Linked DNA regions of Anolis sagrei. The protein of the gene in region 1 interacts with the protein of each later gene in a pairwise test. Links are inferred from orthologs where the notes say so. Each region holds a gene or a part of one and is shown in the gene's direction. Other genes may lie near its edges.

The links. The genes of interacting proteins can lie anywhere in the genome.
Region 2: the proteins of NR1H2 (region 1) and NPY interact in a two-hybrid assay, tested with the Homo sapiens proteins (3 studies listed by BioGRID and IntAct). The link is inferred for Anolis sagrei from reciprocal best matches to the Homo sapiens genes NR1H2 and NPY.

Annotation. Positions count from the first base shown.
Region 1 is NC_090026.1:28,207,677-28,218,061, reverse strand, and holds the start of NR1H2 (oxysterols receptor LXR-beta), read left to right. Parts: upstream 1-5,757; 5' UTR 5,758-5,880; intron 5,881-9,532; 5' UTR 9,533-9,650; intron 9,651-10,385. UniProt on the Homo sapiens protein: Nuclear receptor that exhibits a ligand-dependent transcriptional activation activity. Binds preferentially to double-stranded oligonucleotide direct repeats having the consensus half-site sequence 5'-AGGTCA-3' and 4-nt spacing (DR-4).
Region 2 is NC_090026.1:92,762,037-92,772,255, reverse strand, and holds the start of NPY (pro-neuropeptide Y), read left to right. Parts: upstream 1-5,556; 5' UTR 5,557-5,693; intron 5,694-9,222; coding exon 9,223-9,410; intron 9,411-10,219. UniProt on the Homo sapiens protein: NPY is implicated in the control of feeding and in secretion of gonadotrophin-release hormone.

The DNA of each region.
Region 1 (10,385 bases):
TGTTGCTATGGCCCAGTTTGTGTATATGTGTGTGTGTGTGTGTATACATGTGGATTTGTGCATGCATTGTAATTTTTTTTTTAATTTTTAGCTTTTTAAGTCCCTTCTACTGTGTTTTTCAGTATTTTTATGTGTGACAGTCACTCGTTGGCCTGATTGTGTCCAAATTTAGTGTCAATTGGTCCAGTAGTTTTTGAGTTATGTTAATCCCACAAACAAACATTACATTTTTATTTATATAGATGAGAAGAAGGAAAGAAATAAAAGTGGGGTGGGGAAGTGTATGGAGGAAACAGAGGAAGAACAGAAAGAGCCACAACAAAAACGCATTAGCCAGGCAACACTGGTATACAGTGTTCCCTCACTTATTGCGGGTGTTACATTCCAGAACGACTCGTGAAAAGTGAAAATCCGTAAAGTAGAGATGCTATATATGTATATCACATTCTGAGGGTGAGGTAGAAGCGAGGAGAGATTTAAAAGTACCACGCACCTCTTTTTTTTGCTAGCTATCTCTGCTTTAGTTGCAATCTCTCTTGATTGACTGCCTCTCTCTCGAGAGAGAGAGAGAAGGGTGAAACTCCCTTCCACACTCCATTGTTGCCAGAAGGCGGGATTAGAACGCTGCTCTGGGCAACAGAAACCATTCATAAATTGGGAGGCAAAAACCCGTGAAACAGCAAGTACGTGAAAAACGAACTGCGAAGTAGTGAGAGAACACTGTAATTGGTAGTATATGCCAGTCAAGTTCTGAGCACAATTCAAATTGTTGGTCTTGGCCTATAAAGCCCTATAAGGCTCCGGCCCAGCTTACTTGTCCAAACATATCTCCCTCTACGTTCCACCCCATAGTTTAAGATCCACCGGGGAGGCCCTGCTCTCGGTCCCACCAGCCTCGCAAATGCGTCTGGTGGGGATGAGGAACAGGGCCTTTTCGGTGGTGACCCCTCACTTGTGGAATTCGCTCCCCAGCGAGATTAGATCAGCGTCCTCCTTCCTTTCCTTCAGGAAACAATTAAAATCGTGGTTTCAGAACCAGGCTTTTGGCTAGCAGGCACAACGGCACTTTGGACACTGAACTGGACCATATGATTGTTATGATAATGCAAATGGCCACATGACTGTATAAGTAATGTTATTGTTTTTAATCTATTGTGTATTTATGGTTTTATATTGTGATATTGCGGCATCGAATTGTTGCCAGTGTCAGTCGCTCGGAGTCCCCCCCCCCCCTCAGTTGTTGAGAAGGGCGAGGTAAACATGTTGCAAATATTTAAATTTACATAATAATAAAATCCAGGTAAATACGTTATTTGTGCCGCAAAAATGGCAAACCTTTACAGTAACAAAACCAACACATTTTACAAAGATCAGGAAATAACATACAGGTAAAAATGGCATACAGATAAAAACAGGTGAAACAGAAATACATGGCTATAGCCCAGGTATGGGCAAACTTGGGCCCTCCAGGTGTTTTGGACTTCAACTCCCACAATTCCTAACAGCCTACCGGCTGTTAGGAATTGTGGGAGTTGAAGTCCAAAACACCTGGAGGGCCCAAGTTTGCCCATACCTGGGCTATATCCCCTGGATTACTACTTTCACCCTTTTTTACTCTCTCTATATTTTCCCATTCATTTACTTTTCCAAGGATGTCTCCCTCTAACTCCAAAAAACTCACCCTTTTGGGGATGATGAATGGATGAAATTAGATTCCCATCATTTTACAGACCAGTCTTCACTCTCCTCTTTCAATCCTAGTTAGTCCCCAACCAGGAAAGAATCACAGCGACTCACCTGAAACTTTTAAAACTCCTCCAAAGAAATTCGAAACTCCAATGTCACGTCTGCGCATGCGTCACTCACTCTCTGCTGCCGGCGGCAGTTTCATTTCCTCCTTCGTCGGAGGGGGAATAAAGGGGCGTGGCTTCGATTAGGCCCCGCCCCTGTGTTATTAAACTGGATCAACCCTATTGAAAGAATGCAGATTGACACTTCTTTTGCCCAATGAGAAGGGATTGTGTGAGTTATAGTTTTACAAGATCTTTATTTTGCCATAGAGGCAAATAAATATATTGTATACACATATAATATTAATACTAATAATACTAATACTAATAATAATACAATATAATAATTATATATTTAATATTACATGTATTATTACTAATAATGTTACAGTATACTGGTATAGTTGTTGTTGTTGTTGTTCATTCGTTCAGTCGTCTCCGACTCTTCGTGACCTCATGGACCAGCCTACGCCAGATCTCCCTGTCGGCCGTTACCACCCCCAGCTCCCTCAAGGTCAGTCCAGTCACTTCAAGGATGCCATCCATCCATCTTGCCCTTGGTCGGCCCCTCTTCCTTTTGCCTTCCACTTTCCCCAGCATCATTGTCTTCTCTAGGCTTTCCTGTCTCCTCATGATGTGGCCAAAGTACTTCAACTTTGTCTCTAGTATCTTTCCCTCCAGTGAGCAGTCAGGCTTTATTTCCTGGAGGATGAACTGGTTGGATCTTCTCGCAGTCCAAGGGACTCTCAGCACTTTCCTCCAACACCACAGCTCAAAAGCATCGATCTTCCTTCGCTCAGCCTTCCCTAAGGTCCAGCTCTCACATCCGTAGGTTACTACAGGGAATACCATGGCTTTGAGTAGGCGGATCTTTGTTGCCAGTCTGATGTCTCTACTCTTCACTATTTTATCGAGACTGAACATTGCTCTCCTCCCAAGAAGTAAGCGTCTTCTGATTTCCTGGCTACAGTCTGCGTCTGCAGTAATCTTTGCACCTAGAAATACAAAGTCTGTCACGGCCTCCACGGTACTGGTATAGTACAATATGGGAATGTATGTTACTAATATTGTGCTAAGCTAATAATATAATATATTGTATTTACATATAACTTGTAAGCAGCTCTGATTATAATATTATACTATTATATATATAATATTATAATTATAAGAATTACATATATAATATATAAAAATAGATTATAATATATTATTATAATATTATATATTTAATATTATAATTATAATAATTCTATATTTAATATTACATGTAATATTACTAATAATATTACAGTGTACTGGTATAGTACAATATGGGAATGTATGTTACTAATATTGCACTATGCTAATAATATAATATAATATATTGTATTTACATATAACTTGTAAGCCACTCTGATTATAATATTATAATATTATATATTTAATATTATAAGCAAAATAGTCAGTGCAATGAATGTAATGAACATAGGAATGGAACAATGGATAACGGATCTGGATCATGTTTTTAGTGATGAGACGCTAGTGAATGGCTATTGGTGTTAATTGTATACTGTTGTTAATTGTATACTTTTCTATAATATGTTATGATGTTAACTGTTTTTTATACCGTGTGATGGTAGCATTGAATTTTTGCTGTTTTTGTTGTTAACCGTTGTGAGTCGCCTAAGGGCTGAGAACAGCGGTATACAAATAATATATATATATATATATATATATTACATGTAATATTACTAATAATGTTACTGGTATAGTACAATAGAGGCAAATTAATATATTGTACAATATAAATTAATATATAGTACAATAAATTAATATATAGTACAATAGAGGTAAATTAATAAATTGTATACACATATAATACTGATACTGATATTAATAATATATTATAATTATAATAATTATATATTTAATATTATAATTTTATATATTTAACATTATAATTATAATAATTATATATTTAATATTACATGTAATATTACTAATAATGTTACTGGTATAGTACAATAGAGGCAAATTAATATATTGTACAATATAAATTAATATATAGTACAATAAATTAATATATAGTACAATAGAGGCAAATTAATATATTGTATACAACATATAATATTGATACTAATACTAATAATATTAATATATTATAATTATATATTTAATATTATAATATTATATATTTAATATTATAATTATAATTATTATATATTTAATATTACATGTTATATTACTAATAATGTTACAGTATACTGGTATAGTACAATATGGGAATGTATGTTAATAATATTGTTCTATGCTAATAATATAATATATTGTATTTACATATAACTTGTAAGCCGCTCTGAGTTCCCTTTGGGGTGAGAAGGGCGGCATATAAATGTCAGAAAATAAATAAATAACCTGCAACCCCCATGATTCCATACCATTAAGCCAAGTGGTGTCAAGCTGCATTAATTCCACAATGTAGATGCACTCAAGGGCAGTGTGAAGCTGAGCATTCATGGGCCACTTCCTCCAAATGCAGTGTTTTTCAAACACTGGTCTTCCCAATGTTTTGGACTTCATCCCCCAGAATTCCTAGCCCTTGGCCAAGCTGGCTGGGGCTTATGGGAGTTGAAGTCCAAAAAAACAAACACCTAGAGACCTAGAAAGTGGGGGTCAATGGCACAAAGGTCTCTGATGTCCTCTGATCTTGGCAGCTAAGCAGGGTCAGCCCTGGTTAGTATTTGGATAGGAGACAGCCAACAACACCGTGTAGGATATAGTTCAGGCTCCTTCTACATTGCCATATAAAATCCAGATTATCTTTGAACTGGATTATATAGCAGTGTAGAAAGGACCTTAGGGGCTATCACTTTGGATGCATCTGCACTGTAGAATTTAATGCAGCTTGACACCACTTTAACCATTATGGCTAAATGCATCCTTATCCTGGGAGTTGTGTATTTTGGTGATCTCTGACCCCATCTATACTGCCATATAATGCACTTTTAAAGATTATCTGACAGTGTGGACTAATATAATCCAGGTTAAAGCAGAAAACCTGGAATCAGATCCTGGGATACAGGGCCTGTCTAGAAGGGCCCTGGCAGTAAAATGCAGTTCCAAACTGCATTATATCCCAATGGTGCCCAAACCGCTGTCGTTGGTCTTTAAGGGGGTGCATCCACACTGTTGACTTAATTCAGTTTGACTACTACTATGGCGAATACAGCGAGTTGGAGTTTTCCCAAGGGCTTTAGACCTCCCTCTGCCAAAGAGTGCCAATGCCCCGCCAAACTACAACTCCCAGGGTGCATCCACACTGTTGACTTAATTCAGTTTGATACCGCTGGAGCTGCTATGGCGAATCCAAGGAGATGTCGTTCCCCAAAGGCCTTTAGACTATCACCCTTCCTTCTGCCAAAGAGTGCCAATACCTCGCCAAACTACAACTCCCAGGGTGCATCCACACTATTGACTTAATTCAGTTTGACACCGCTTGAACTGCTATGGAGAATCCAGCGAGTTGGAGTTTTCCAAAGGCCTTTAGACCTCTCTGCAAGAGTTACGTTGCCTCGGCAAACTACAACTCCCAGGGTGCATCCACACTGTTGTCTTAATTCAGTTTGACACCGCTTGAACTGCTATGGCGAATCCAAGGAGATATCGTTTTCCAAAGGCCTTTAGACTCCTCTCTCAAAGAGTGCTAATGCCTGGCCAAACTACAACTCCCAGGGTGCATCCACACTGTTGACTTAATTCAGTTTAACACCGCTTGAGTTGCTATGGCGAATCCAAGGAGATGTCATTTTCTAAAGGCCTTTAGACTATCACCCCTCCCTCTGCCAAAGAGTGCTGATGCCTGGCCAAACTACAACTCCCAGGATCCACTGAGCCAGGGCCGTTCAAGCGGTGCTAATCTGCGTTGGCTCTGCAGTGTAGACGCGCGGCCGCCAGCGACGCCAACCCGGGGAGGCGCCGGCGACGAAGGGGAGGTTTTTCCCGGGCTGGAAAGGGAAGTGACGCCTGGCAAAGGGTTCCCGGAAGCGACTGGCTCCTGAATGCGAGGATGACCGTGTTTTCACTTTTTTGATGCAAGTTGCAGAGGAAACAGGTAAACAAGAGGAAAGGTAAACAGAGGTGGCGGGAGCAGGAAAAGGGAAGGGATCCGATCTGTGGGATCCGAGATCTTTACAGGCTGATCTCCCCCCAAAAGTGGGTATTTTATGCCCACCCCCACAATAATAATAATAATAATAATAATAATAATAATAATACAAAAACACCCGAGGAGGATCGCCATCTCCCCCTTGATTTGCAGCCTTTTGGGGATCCCAAACACTGTAGAAATAATGCAGTTTGTCCCCTCTTTGACTGCCATGGCTTAATGGGATTTGTAGTTCGCCAGAATTACAAAATCCCAGAATTCCATCGCGTTGGGACATAGCAGTTTCAAGTGTCAATCTAGTCTGGGCAAACTTGGGCCCTCTGGAAGTTTTGGACTCCAACTCCCACAATTCCTAACAGCCGGTTCCCACAATTCCTAACAGCCTACCGGCTGTTATCTGGCAGTGTGAACTAATGTAATCCGGTTTAAAGCAGAAAAACTGGAATCAGATCCTGGGATACAGGGCCTGTCTGGAAGGGCCCTGGCAGCAATTCCTACCGGCTGTTAGGAATTGTGGGAGTTGGAGTCCAAAACTTCCAGAGGGCCCAAATTTGCCCATGTTTGGTCTAAAGACAGCTTTGGAGAGGGATATGCACTTGGATGAAGCCTCTACACTCCAGGTGTTTTGGACTTCAACGCCCACAATTCCTAACAGCCGGTAGCTCCAGTGGGATTCATTCCCAGGTGATCCTCAAAGCTCGGGATGCTTGTCTGTTCTTGAGATGAAAGGCACATGTCTGTGTTTTAGATGGGTTAGGGATCAGCTGGTTTTCCCTGTAATAGGCAGTAAGAGCACCTAGAGCTTCCGAAAGCTTCCGAAGGTGAACTATAAATCCCAGCAACTACAACTCCCGAATGTCAAGATTCTATTTTCCCCAAACTCTACCAGTGTTCACATTTGGACATATTAAGTATTCATGTAGAGGTTGGTCCAGATTCATCATTGTTTGAGTCCACAGTGATCTCTGGATGTCGGTGAACTACAACTCCAAAACCAAAAGACACTGCCCACCAAATCCTTTGAGTATTTTCTGTTAGTCATAGGAGTTGTGTGTGCCAAGTTTGGTTCAATTCCATCGTTGGTAGGGTTCAGAATGCTCTTTGATTGTAGGTGAACTATAAATCTCTGCAACTACAACTCCCAAATGACAAAATCCATTTTTTTGAGTGAAGGACATACATTGGGTTGTTAGGTGTCTTGTGTCCAAATTTGGTGTCAATTCGTCCAGTGGTTTTTGAGTTCTGTTAATCTCACAAACGAACATTACATTTTTATTTATATAGATACTAGCTGTACCCGCTACACGTTGCTGTGGCCAACCTTCCCTCTTTCTCTCCTTCTTTCCCTCCTTCCTTCACTCCCTCTTTCCTTCCTTCCTTCCTTCCTTCCTTCCTTCCTTCCTTCCTGTCTTTCCTTTTCTTCTTCCTTCCTTCTCTATCTCTTTCCTTCCTTACCCCTTTTTCTTTCTCTTCTGCTGTCTCTCTTTTCTTCCTTCTCTCTTTCCTTCTTTCCTTCCCTCCCTCTTTCTCTACATCTTCCCCCCTTCTTTCGCTCCCTCTTTTCTTCCTTCTTTCCCTTTTATCTTTCCTTCTCTCCTTCCTTCTTTCTCTAACTTTCCTTCCTCCTCCCTTTTTCTTTCCCTCCCCCTTTCTCTCCTTTCTTCCTTCTCTACCTCTTTCCTTCCTTCTCTTTGCTTCCATGATTCCTTCTCCCTTTCCTTCTTTCTTTCCCTCCTTCTTCCTTTTTCTTTCTTTCTTTTTTTCCCCCCTTCCCTCCCTCTTTCTTCCCTTTTTTACTGTCATTTAGCTTTTTGGGGCTTTTTAAGTCCCTTCTGCTGTGTTTTTATGAGTGAAGGACATACATTGGGTTGTTAGGTGTCTTGTGTCCAAATTTGGTGTCAATTCGTCCAGTGGTTTTTGAGTTCTGTTAATCCCACAAACGAACATTACATTTTTATTTATATAGATTTATATGCCACCTTTCTCATCCGGGGGGAGGGGGGGCGACTCAATACATGTAGACAGAAAAAAAAATCATAATAACCAAACACCAACATATAACTTTAAATTTAAAATAATTTAATAATAATAATAATAATGAAATCTAGTATATATATCTTGTTTGCTGTGACATACTGCATTTTTGTGTCAATAATAATAATAATAACAATAATAATAATTTTATTTATAGACTGTACTATCTCCCCGAAGGGACACAGGGCAGTTTTCAACAAATATGGCAAACATTCAGCGCCAAAAGGAAAACCATACAAACAATTTACAAGACAAAGCAAATTAGACAACATAGAACAACCAGCTATAACTTAATAAACAAAATAACAAACAAAAAAATCATAAAATACAAAAACCTGATAAAATACACTAAAAATAAAAATATAAAACCAACTTCATTCGGGCTTCATTAGGAGAGATTGAACAATAGCAATGGCCTGGAGTACAAAAATAGACATAATCGGGTAGAAAAGGGCTGGTTGAGGGTTAATGCAAACAACGTGTCATAGGGCCGGGGAAGTGGATGAAGTGCTAAACAGAGTACCATCTAGCAACCTAAGGACTGGGACTAGGGACTAGTTGTTCTCAACAGCTTGCTGGATCATCCAGGTTGTCAGTTCCTTCCAAAAGGAGGACAGTGTGGGGGCTTGCCTAAAACCATTAAACACGAGACATAAAGAACATTTAAGCATTAAAAACATCCTAGTATAAGTATTGCAGTAGAGTCTCGCATATCCAACATAAACAGGCCAGCAGAACGTTGGATAAGCGAAAATGTTGGATTTTTTTTTGTTGTGTCAGGAGCGACTTGAGAAACTGCAAGTCGCTTCTGGTGTGAGAGAATTGGCCGTCTGCAAGGACGTTGCCCAGGGGACGCCCGGATGAATTGATGTTTTTATCATCCTTGTGGGAGGCTTCTCTCATGTCCCCGCATGAGGAGCTGGAGCTGATAGAGGGAGCTTATCCGCCTCTCCCTGGATTCAAACCTGCGACCTGTCGGTCTTCAGTCCTGCTGGCTCAGGAGTTTAACCCACTGCGCCACCAGGGGCTCTGGTGTTGGATAGTAAGGAGGGATTAAGGAAAGGCCTGTTAAACGTCAATTGAAGTTATGATTTTACAAATTAAGCACAAAAACATCATGTTTTACAACAAATTGACAGAAAAAGAAGTTCACTATACGGTAAAGTTATGTAGTAATTACTGTATTTACAAATTTAGCACCAAAACATTGCAATGCTTTGAAACAGCTGTAGATCCGGGCGGAAGGCAGAACGCTGGATGAGCGAACGTTGGATAAGCGAGTACTGTAAAATCACATAATCCAAAACTCATACACTGTGGTCATTCCAAGTTGTGCCGGAAGACCTAGACATTCTTACAGAGGTGTTCTCTCAAGTTAAAAAATAGCTATTTATTTATTCATTTTTTAAAAACTTTTATTGGAGTTTAATCTCATTAAATATGTTGAAGAAATTGATATCACCTATTTCTGGGATTAGTGTCCAGCCATTATATGTATAAAGCCTGATGATATAGTAGACAACAGGGTGCCATTTGTTGACATTGGCTCATCTCTCCCTTTCAGGTTGTATCCTGTACATAGTTTGCACGCCTGCTACACTGCCATGTTACTTCCTCTGCCCCATAAATCTTGTGATGTGATTGTCAACTAGCTGCGTCTCTTCCCCACGGTGGGGAGAAAGGTGAGACGGTATTTGAGGAGAATTGCCTTTCTTCTACATTTTCACCAAATTAATTGATCAAAAAGCGGAGGCGGGAGAAGCGGTGTATAAAAAAGGGGCAATGGAAAAACATGTAGGGAAGGGGTAATAGGGAGAAGGAAAAGAGAGAGCTCTGTGGGGCAAGGGAAAGGGAATGGAACTCACCTGGGTTGTCCTTTGCCACTGCGAAAGCTGGTGACGGCACTTTGGAGAGCCCCTGTTCATTGCCAATGCTTTGCTGACCTCAACAAAGATGCCCTAGTGACCTGGGGAAATGAGGGCAATCACCAGCTATAATCCCATGCTAAAACAAATAAGGCTATAGGTCTATCTGTTTGGCCACTAAAACCAGTCCCAAATTTACCATTGTGCTTATCTATTTTCACTTTGAAATTTACCAGTAGCTTCTGCGTTTCCCACCCTCGGCTTATACTCGAGTCAATATGTTTTCCCAATTTTCTGTGATAAAATGTATCTCAGCTTATATCCGTGCTGGCTTATACTCAAGTATGAACGATATTATTATTTAAAACACAACAAGGCAAGATCACTTTGCTGGCTGTTGTGTTGAATCACATGTCAGACACTTCCCAAGTGTCTAGGACTGTGTGATGTATCGGTGAATAATACATGCAGATCCCAGTAAGGTGGCCTTTTGCAGCTGGCAGATGGTAATTTTGTCAGCTCCGATTGTGTTTAAGTGCAGGCCAAGGTCTT
Region 2 (10,219 bases), about 65 Mb from region 1:
GACACTATAGCTATGGTTGTAACTTGCTCCAATCTACTTTCCAGTGCATCAACTGCATGAAGAGAAAAGGGGCTGTTATGCCAATGATGAGAGTATGGCTGAATGATGTTTCTATCAGGTTTGGGAACATTAGTTGTGCCAGGAGAAGTTAATTAAACTCTAGTAAGACCTTTTAATTGTATTGCTTTTACAATTAAAATGGCTTTTGCTCCCTTTTTATGTTTCTAAAGTTACTGATGGTTTAATTAATCTACATCAAATCTTCGGTATGTGTTAGCTACGAAATGTCCTTGTTCATAAGCCACCTTGAGTATCAGGTTTGGGAGGAAAGGTAGGATATAAATAAATATAAAGCTGCTGCACTTACTACGATTAATAATATTAATGGGAATACTATAATATAGGGATGCTTCACAAATTGCCAGTGGTTTGTGAAGACAGAATTCCAGAGGATGAGCAAAAAGGGCCTCGAATGTAGCAGACCTTCTTTTGAAGTGCAGTGAAATAAATGGCCATCTAAAGAAGTTGTGCCCTTGTCACTTGTTCTTTGTATGTACCCCCAGCCTGATTTGTATATATGGTGACCCTAAAACAAACCTTTCATGGGGGTTTCTTGCCAAGGATTTTTTTTTTTTGCCATTGCCCTCCTCTGAGGCTGAGAAGGTGTAAGTTGCCCAAGGCCATCCAAGGCTTTCTATGGCCAAGTGGGTCTCCCAGAATTGCAGACTAACATTCACAGCATTTTATACCACTCTAGGTATAATATATTTTATATACTTTATTTATATTCTGCTCTATCTCTCCAAGGGGACCTAAAGCGGATGACAGAATACATATATGGCAAACGTTGAATGCCATTATACAATTAACAACAAAGATGGACTGTACCTAGACTGGGTTGTGGCACAGCTGGTTGGGAGTCAGCTGCATTAAAATTACTACTGACCGAAAGGTCAAGAGTTCAAAGCCAGCCCGGGACGGAGTAAGCTCCTGACCATTTGACTAGCTTGCTGTTAACCTATACAGCCTGAAAGACAGTTGCATCTGTGAAGTAGGAAATTTAGGTACCACTTATGCAGGGAGGCTAATTTAACTAATTTAAAAATCTCCAGCAGTATGCAAAAGAATGAGGAAGTACTCCATCGGTGTCACAAATGGACGGTGAAGCGACAGATCCCCCGGTGGCCGGCCCAAGATACCTATCCGACCACATCTCTGCCTATGAACCCACCAGGACTTTGAGATCTTCCGGGGAGGCCCTGCTCTCGATCCCACCTGCCTCACAGGCACGGCTGGTGGGAACGAGAGATAGGGCCTTCTCGGTGGTGGCCCCTCGGCTGTGGAACGCCCTTCCCACAGATATTAGACTAGCTCCATCATTATTGGTATTCTGCAAAAAAGTGAAGACCTGGTTGTTCGAGCAGGCGTTCGAATAGTTAGTGCAATGAGTGTAATGAACATAGGAATGGAACAATGGATGACGGATTTGGATCATGTTTTCAGTGATGAGACGCCAGTGAATGGCTATTGTTGTTAGTTATATAGGATCGTTTAGGTGTTATGATGTTACTGTTTTTTACCGTGTACTGTATTTTGCTGTTTGTTGTTAACCGCTGTGAGTCGCCTATGGGCTGAGAACAGCGGTATACAAATAAAGTAAATAAATAAATAAATAAATAAATTTGAACATACCTTCATGAAGCTGAAAATGTAAATACCTCTGTGTGTCTGTTTATATATTTTGTGTGCCTATTGCATTGAATGTTTGCCATGTATATATGCATTGTGATCTGCCCTGAGTCCCCTGTGGGGTGAGAAGGGCGGAAGATAAATACTGTACATAAATAAATAAATAAATAAATAAATAAATAAATAAATAAATAGAGGCAAAGGTTTCTCTCTTTCCATCTCAGGCATCTGCAGGCTGTGCTCGACTCCAGCCATGGGGAGGTGCTCTTGTTCCATTTTCCATGCTGATGAGTCTGTTGTCTGTGGACATCGTCGTTATCGAATTGCCGGCATCTCTGCATGGGCACCTTTTACCTCCCCGTAAAAGCGGTACTTATTCATCTACTCACATTATTGTTTTTGAACTGCTAGGTAGGCAGGAGCTAGGGCTAACGGCAGGAGCCTACCACCCCACCCATGGCTTGAACTACCAACCTTCTGGTCAGCAAGATTTTCTGCAGCTGGATGTTTAACCCGCTGTGCTACCATGGCCCCTATAAAACCATAGATAGACTTTATAAAACCATTAAGTCCAGAGTCTAAAATTTTCATTCAATTTTATAATGTTGATATAATGCTATATTTCTTCAGTCTACCTGCCGCACCTTGAACATATAGGGGTTTTTGAGTGCATCTGGTATCTGAGCTTCACTGCAGTTTTCTAAGGGTGAATTCTGGCACAAGTCCCTGAGTGTCTGGTTCAAATACTATATTATTATAGGTGGTATTAACTTGATGATACCTAAAGCAAAGAAGCATATACATACTACTCTTCTGGTGCAGAGATTAAATCTGTCTGCCAGTCTTGAAGTTAATCTCTACATCAGAAGAGTGGTTTGTGGAGTTTCAGGGTTCAGATGGAAGGCCAAAGTCTTCCTGCCTTCGTTGGTGGGGCTGCTGCTTCCTTTTTTTCGATCCTATTCAGCAGGATTCAGTCTCCGGATTTGTAATTTGTCACACCACTCTGTAGGATTACAATGAGGACTGAGCTCCTTTGGAATAATTGTGTTTCAAGATCAAAGTTGGAGTCGAAGGGGGGCGAAGGGAGGGGCTCTCCAGATACTTTCTGTCAGGTCCCAGATAGAATTTGAATCTCTTTGGTGCAAGTCAAGACAGAATTTATTCTCCCTTTGAAGTCTACAACCGGTGTCTCTATGTGTGTGTGTGTCTGTGATTGGCTTTCTGCCTTTTAAATACTGCCGGCCAGCTATTTTTGATCTGGGATGGAATTTATTTCAGACTTGGGGTGGGGGTAGACCAGGGAACCCAATGGCTGCTACTCTCTTTTCATTCAGTGATCAGAACAAAGCAAAATCCAAACTTCGCAAAAAGAGTGATACTTTTATCGACCAACTGAAATGGACAAAATCCTGGAATGGTCCATCTGTGTTGACTTGTGACTCCGATCTTCCACAGCCCCTGAGGACGGCAGCAAAAGGACTATTTAGGGACACGGGAGGCTTGGATATAGTTAAAGTGCCTCTATTAGTCAGAAGGTAGATGGAGAAAAAGCTTTTGTTGACAGGCTGAGCATCACTGAACCCAAATTCTAAAATTTGAAGTGCTCCAAAGTTGGCCACATGCATGACAGAGACAGTGACACCTTTGCTTTCCGATGATTCAAGATACACAAACTTTGTGTCATTCAGAAAATTATTAAACATATCTATCTCTCTATCTCTCTAAAGTACAGTAGAGCCTCACTTATCCAACCTTCACTTATCCAATGTTCTGTATTATCCAACTCAGTCTGCCTCCTGCCCAGATCCACAGGTGAGGGAAGTGGAGTGTATATATTTACCTGTGGAATAATGTCCAGAGTGGGAGAAAGAAAGAACCCTTGTCTGTTTTGGTGCTAAATTCATAAATACAGTAATTACTACATAACATTACCATGTATTGAACTGTTTTTTCTGTCTTTTTGTTTTAAAACTTGATATTTTGGTGCATTATTTGTAAAATCATAATGTAATTTGATGATTCCTTTTTGGGAGGAGAGCAATGACCAATTTCAATAAAATAGTGAAGAGTAGGGACATCACACTGGCAACAAAGATCCACATAGTTAAAGCAATGGAATTCCCTATAGTAACCTATGGATGTGAGAGCTGGACCAAAAGGAAGGCTGAGCGAAGGAAGATAGATGCTTTTGAACTGTGGTGATGGAGGAAAATTCTGAGAGTGCCTTGGACCGCAAGAAGATCAAACCAGTCCATACTCCGGGAAGTAAAGCCGGCTGCTCACTGGAGGGAAGGATATTAGAGGCCAAGATGAAGTACTTTGGCCACATCATGAGAAGACAGGAAAGCTTGGAGAAGACAATGATGTTGGGGAAAATGGAAGGAAAAAGAAAGAGGGGCTGACTAAGGGCCAACAGGGAGCTCTGGTGTGGGCTGGTCCAAGAGGTCATGAAGACTGAATGAATAAACAACACAAAAATTTGACATTTACTACGCTTTTCCTTAATTCCTCCTTATTCAACATTTTTGCTTATCCAACGTTCTGCTGGTCCATTTATTGTGTTGGATAAGTGAGACTCTACTGTATATATGCTTGTTGGTTGGTTTGCTTGTACCACAAAGGCTCCATCATGGCTTGTTGGATCTGGACCAAACCTGGCACACACACCCTTCATTACCCAACTTCAGATCATGGCAGGGTATAAACTACAAAATCTTCTCCATTTTGGGGTAAAGGACCCAAACATTAAAATAATGGGTTGTTGTAGGTTTTTTGGGCTGTATGGCCATGTTCTAGAAGCATTACCTCCTGATGTTTTGCCTGCATCTATGGCAGGCATCCTCAGAGGTCGTGAGGTCCTCACAACCTCTGCCATAGATGCAGGCAAAACGTCAGGGGAGAATGTTTCTAGAACATGGCCATACAGCCTGAAAAACCTACAACAACTCAGTGATTCTGGCCATGAAAGCCTTCAGCAATACATTAAAACAATGGTGGTTATGGCCATGAAAGCCACACTTAGGACATCCACTCTATAAGGAAGTAAGCCATTTCATGAAGATTTGTATTTTGGAAGGGGTTTGTGTAGGTGTCTTGCTTTGAAAAGGCCAGGATTTGGTGCCATTTCGATGACCATGCCATGAAAAGGACTAGGAGGAGGTCAAGAATGACAGAAAACAAAGAGAGGGAGACAAGGAGAGAGAGAGAGAGAGAGGGAGGGAGGGAAGGAGGGAAGGGATGGATGGATGGATGGAAGTAAGTAAGTAAGGAACTAAAGTGTGTGTGGTGGTGGGGGGGGGGGAAGAAAAGCAGGGAAGGTGCATGACTGAAAGGATGAGAAGAAGAAGCTGTTAGGAATTGTGGGAGTTGAAGTCCAAAATACCTGGAGGGCCAAAGTTTGCCCCTGCCTGGAATATAGTATTAATTAGGTCTATTTTAATAATAACTCTTAAGCAACCAGAAACATTGATCTGGCATCTATCTACCCCATGGTTGCCAGTTAATGGAAAGTCTACTATAATCTCAAGCACTTCTCAGAGAGATTCAACCCGCCACTAAAGTTTATCTTGGAGGCTTTGGGTAGTTGCGGGTGGGAAGAGTGCCGGAATGTTCTCAAGCGCACTTCTTCGCCGAGTCTGCGAGGGGATTAAGGCGTCTGGCGGCCGGAGGGGGCCCACCAAGCCCCCACCCTCTCTCCCTCCCTTTTCCACGCCGATGATGATGGTGGTGATGATGCCAATGGTGGGCCAGGCGCGGGCGGGGCGCGCGTGAGGAGGGGGAGGGGGGCAGGGAGGGGGGGGGCTGTGGGAGAGCGACCGGAGCGTGATCGCCCCGAGCCCCTCCCGCCTCCTGGGAAAGCCATAAAACACCTCGCCCAGGCGCCCGGCCCCGCACTGGAGAGCGCCAGCCGAGTCGCAGCCGGGATCGCCAAGGAGCAAGGAAGGAGTTCCAGTCGGGATCCAGAGTCACGGGAGAAGGCAGAGGCGCAGGCACACAGGAAGAAGGTGAACAGCACCGGAGCGCGCCTCCTCCCGCTTGGCCAGGCTTTCCCCTTGCGTTCCCTTTCTCTTCTCTTCTCTTCTCTTCTCTTCTCTTCTCTTCTCTTCTCTTCTCTTCTCTTCTCTTCTCTTCTCTTCTCTTCTCTTCTCTTCTCTTCTCTTCTCTTCTCATTCCTTCTTTCTTTCTCTCCCATCCTTCCGTTCCTCCTCCTTTTCTCATTGTTTCCCCTTATTATTCTCCTTCCTTCCTTCCTCTTTCTTCTTTCTTTCCTCCCCTTCCTTCCTTCCATCCCTCTCCTTCCGTCCTTCCTTCCTTCCTTCCTTCCTTCCTTCCTTCCTTCCTTCCTTCCTTCTTCTTCTGTTCTCTTTTCCTCCTTTTTCATCTCCTTCCTTTCTTTTTCCTTTTTATCTCCTTCTTATCCTTTCTTATTCTGTTCTCTTTTTCTTTTTTCCTTCCTTCTTTCCTTCCACTTCTGTTCTCTTTTCCTCCTTTTTCATCTTCTTCCTGTCCCTCCTTATTTTCTTCTTCTCTTTCTTCTTCCTTCCTTTTTTCTCTTCTGTTCCCTTTCCTCCTTTTTTCTCTTCCTTCCTTTTCTTCTCCTTCTCTCCCTTTTTCCATCTCCTCCCCGTTCCTTTTCTTCTCTTTGTTTTTCATTCTTTCATTTCTTTCCTTGTTTCTTCTCCTTATGTTCGCTTTTCCTCCTTTCTCATTTCCTGCTCTCCTCTCTTTTCTTCTCCTGCCCTCACTTTCCTTTTCTCTTCTTTCTTTTTCTTGCCATCCTTTTTTTCTCCTTCTTCTTTCTTCCCATCCTTCTCCGTCTCTTTCCTTCCTTTATTTCCCTGCCCTTGATATAAATTTGTTGTTTTTATATGCTATTGGTTTTACTTTTTGTATTGTGCAGTTTATTTATTTTATGCCTTGTTTTTAGGGACTTTGTGTCATATGTAAGCTGCCTCGAATCCCTTCAGGGAGATGGAGGCGAGGTACAAAAAAAGTTATTATTATTGTTGTTATTATTATTATTATGCTCGCTCTGTGACAAAACGTTGCTATGAATCCTATTAACTCTTAATCTCTCCCCCCCCCCCCCCCGCCACTGCCACCACTTCCCTCTCTCACCTTCATCGTCTTCCCCCTGAAGTTTCCCATTGTTGAGACAGCTATTGTCCACCTGCTTCACAAACCTTGTAACTTTTTGGAAGATGCAATCATGTAATCAGTATATCCAGCACAGTGGTTTATTCTAGCATGAGATTTTAGGTGCGCGTTTTCAAATGATTCCTGGCTGAGTTACTGACTTGCTTGAGAAGGACCTTGCTAAGCAACAACTGTCAGTCCTTAACTGAGCCAAAGTGATCAAGAGGAGAATTTCAAGGAGAGATTGGAAAGGAACACAAACTGGGGGAATAAGGACAAATGTCAATCTATTATCAGAGTCAGAAACAATGGCTTGTTTTCACAATACATACATATATTAATAGACTGGTTTTAATTACATTTGTGGAAACAACCATCATCAACACAAGATTGCGACTTCTGCAGAACCAAAACTTTCCTGAAAGCAAAGTATTGCTTTTTAACTCTAAGAATTCTCGCAAGTCTGTGCATTTGTTTACAGATCCATAACGTTTCTGCTAAGTCAGTGTTATCTCCAGCTTATTGTTGTGGTGGTGCGCCTTCAAGCCATGTCCAATTTATGGCAACTGGGACCAGTGTGGTGTAGTAGTTTAGGTGTTGGTTTATGGCTCAAATGCCCATTGAGCCATGAAGCCCATTGGGTGACTTTGGGCAAGTCACACTCTCTCAGCCTTGGAGGAAGATAATGGCAAACCACTTCTGAACAAATGTTGCCAAGTATTGGAAATGGCTTCATGGTTTACAGCAATTACAATAGCGTAAATTTATCATGGGGTTTACTTAGCTAAAATTTGTTCAGTGAAGGGTTGGCATTGCCTTCCTTTTAGTCTGAGACAGTGTGACGTGCATAAATTCACCAGTGGATTTCCATGGCTGAATGGTGTATTGAGCCCTCGTATTCCAGAGTTGTAGTCCAACACTCAAACCACTGTGCCAAGCTGGTTTCATGTATATATTGTGAATTTTTGGTATTCTTATTTTATTCTTAATTCCACACTTCCAGAACTATTATATTGTGTATATGTACATTGAGCTTGAAAATTGTACACCATCAGTGCACCCAAGGAAGTGAATTAGGATCCTAAAAATCCATGTCAAAATAAATCAGAATTGATACAATTTTCTCCTTTTCCACATTTCTTCCCCTTCTTTTATGCCATGAAAGACTTTAAGCAGAATGCTTCCATCTTCAAAGCAGAAATGTACAAGTTCACTAGGGTTTTACATTTCTTTATGGTAAGTTATTATGGTCTAAGCCAGGTAGTACAGCCTCCAGATGCCAGAGATGGAAAAAGATGTGAAGCCTTTCCCTCTGTTTATGTACTGTCTGTCTTTGTTCATTGTATAACGGCACTGGATGTTTGTTGTATATGTGTACTGTAATCCGTCCTGAGTCCCCTCAGGAAGATAGGACAGAATATAAATACATTATATTATTATTAGTAGAAATGATAATAAACTTTCATACAAACCATATTTAAGAAGTGCTTCCCACCCTCCAATGGAGAAAGCTAACTAAATCCATTTTTATGAGAGATTGTATGCAGGATTTTTCTGAAATATTTGTTGTTCTTTGCTGATTTAGTTTCAGGGACAGGATTCCACAACTTGGACAGTTCATTTAAAGCTCAAATTAAAACCTCAAGAAAAGCAGTTACTCCACTGACAATTATTTTTTAATTTGAAAGAGCTTACCTGAAAGCAAAGGACTGGTAGTCATAGTTTTGCTGCCTCTCTATGCTTTCAAGACATTTATGACATAAGGTAAAGGTAAAGGTTTCTCCTTGACATTAAGTCTAGTTGAGTCAGACTTGGGGGTGATGCCCATCTCCATTTTTAAGCTGATGAGCCGGCGTTGTCCATAGATGCCTCCTAGGTCATGTGGCCGGCATGACTGGATGGAGTGCTGTTACCTTCCCGCCAAAGTGGTACCTAATGATTTACTCACATTTGCATGTTTTCAAACTGCTAGGTTGGCAGAAGCTGAGGCTAATGATGGGAGCTCACCCTGTCTTGCAGATTCAAACCACCAACCTTCCGGTCAGCATGTTCTGCAGCTTAACAGTTTAACCTGCTGTTCTACTATAGCCCCTGTATTTCTGACATAGGATGACCCAAAAGCAAACCTATCACAGAGTTTTCTTGGCAGAATTTGTTCAGAGAGGGTTTACATTTGCCTTTCCTTGGGATTGAGTCGGTGTGACTTGCCTATGGTTACGCAGTGGGGTTCAATGGGCAAGTGAGGATTGAAGCCCTGATTTTCAAGAGTTGTAGTCGAACACGCAAACCACTCCATCACACTGGCTCTCTACCCATCAAAAAGTAAAGAGTTGCTTGAATTTTTTCATGCCATGCTCTCTTGCCCTCCCTCTTGTATCCTTTCCTGGTGTCTTCCAGATGCAGGGGACCATGCGGTTGTGGCTGTCAATGATGACCCTTGCCTTGTGCCTGCTGATCTGCCTGGGGTCACTGGCAGAAGCATATCCATCCAAACCGGACAGTCCAGGTGAGGATGCCCCAGCAGAAGATATGGCCAGATATTACTCGGCTCTGAGGCACTACATCAACCTCATCACACGGCAGAGGTAGGTACCACAACCTTAACCTGTGTGGTAAGAGGGAAGGTACAACACTAGAGAAAATTGCTCACAGGATTCACAAATGACCATGCCCCTTGGGAAATATCTTAAAATTATACTCCTGGAAGTAACATTTGCAGCTCACAGAGATTCTTGCATGCAAGGGGCGTTGCTCCAGTTGTTTTGAGTAATAATTTACACCCACAGTTCCCAGCCTGTTCAAATGTCAGGAATGAAGGGAGCTGTAGACCAAAACAACTAGAAATCTCTAGGTTGATATAAGGAGATATTTTTTTCTTACTCAATGTGTGCCTTAAAACCATTTACACAAGGTGCCTAGAATCACAGATTCACTATATCTACCAAATTAGTGTGTTGAGAACAGGTAAACACACACACAAAAAGAGAATATGTTGCGTAAATATATCAGTATGAGCTTTCGTAAATACAATTCAATTCAACACATATATAGCAGTTATAATTTGGAAATAGGATTCAGCACCTTGGATAGATCTGTCAGCCCTGAAGCTAAAATCTGGAGTGGAATCAACACCACACAGGCATGGTGTAACAGATGTAATCCTCACATACATGAGACAACTGCCTGGTATAGGGGATCATCATAGTTTGTACACCACCCTTTATTCAGAAGAATAAAACTGTAATCTTTATGAAAAGGAAGAGAGAGATGCATTCCCAAAAACTGTACAGTGTTGATCTATTGAGAAGTCACTCCAATCCTACCTTGCAATATAAAAATGAAGGTAATCCAACAAAACCTGTGTGCTTGCTCTAAATTTGCATCAATGCCTTCT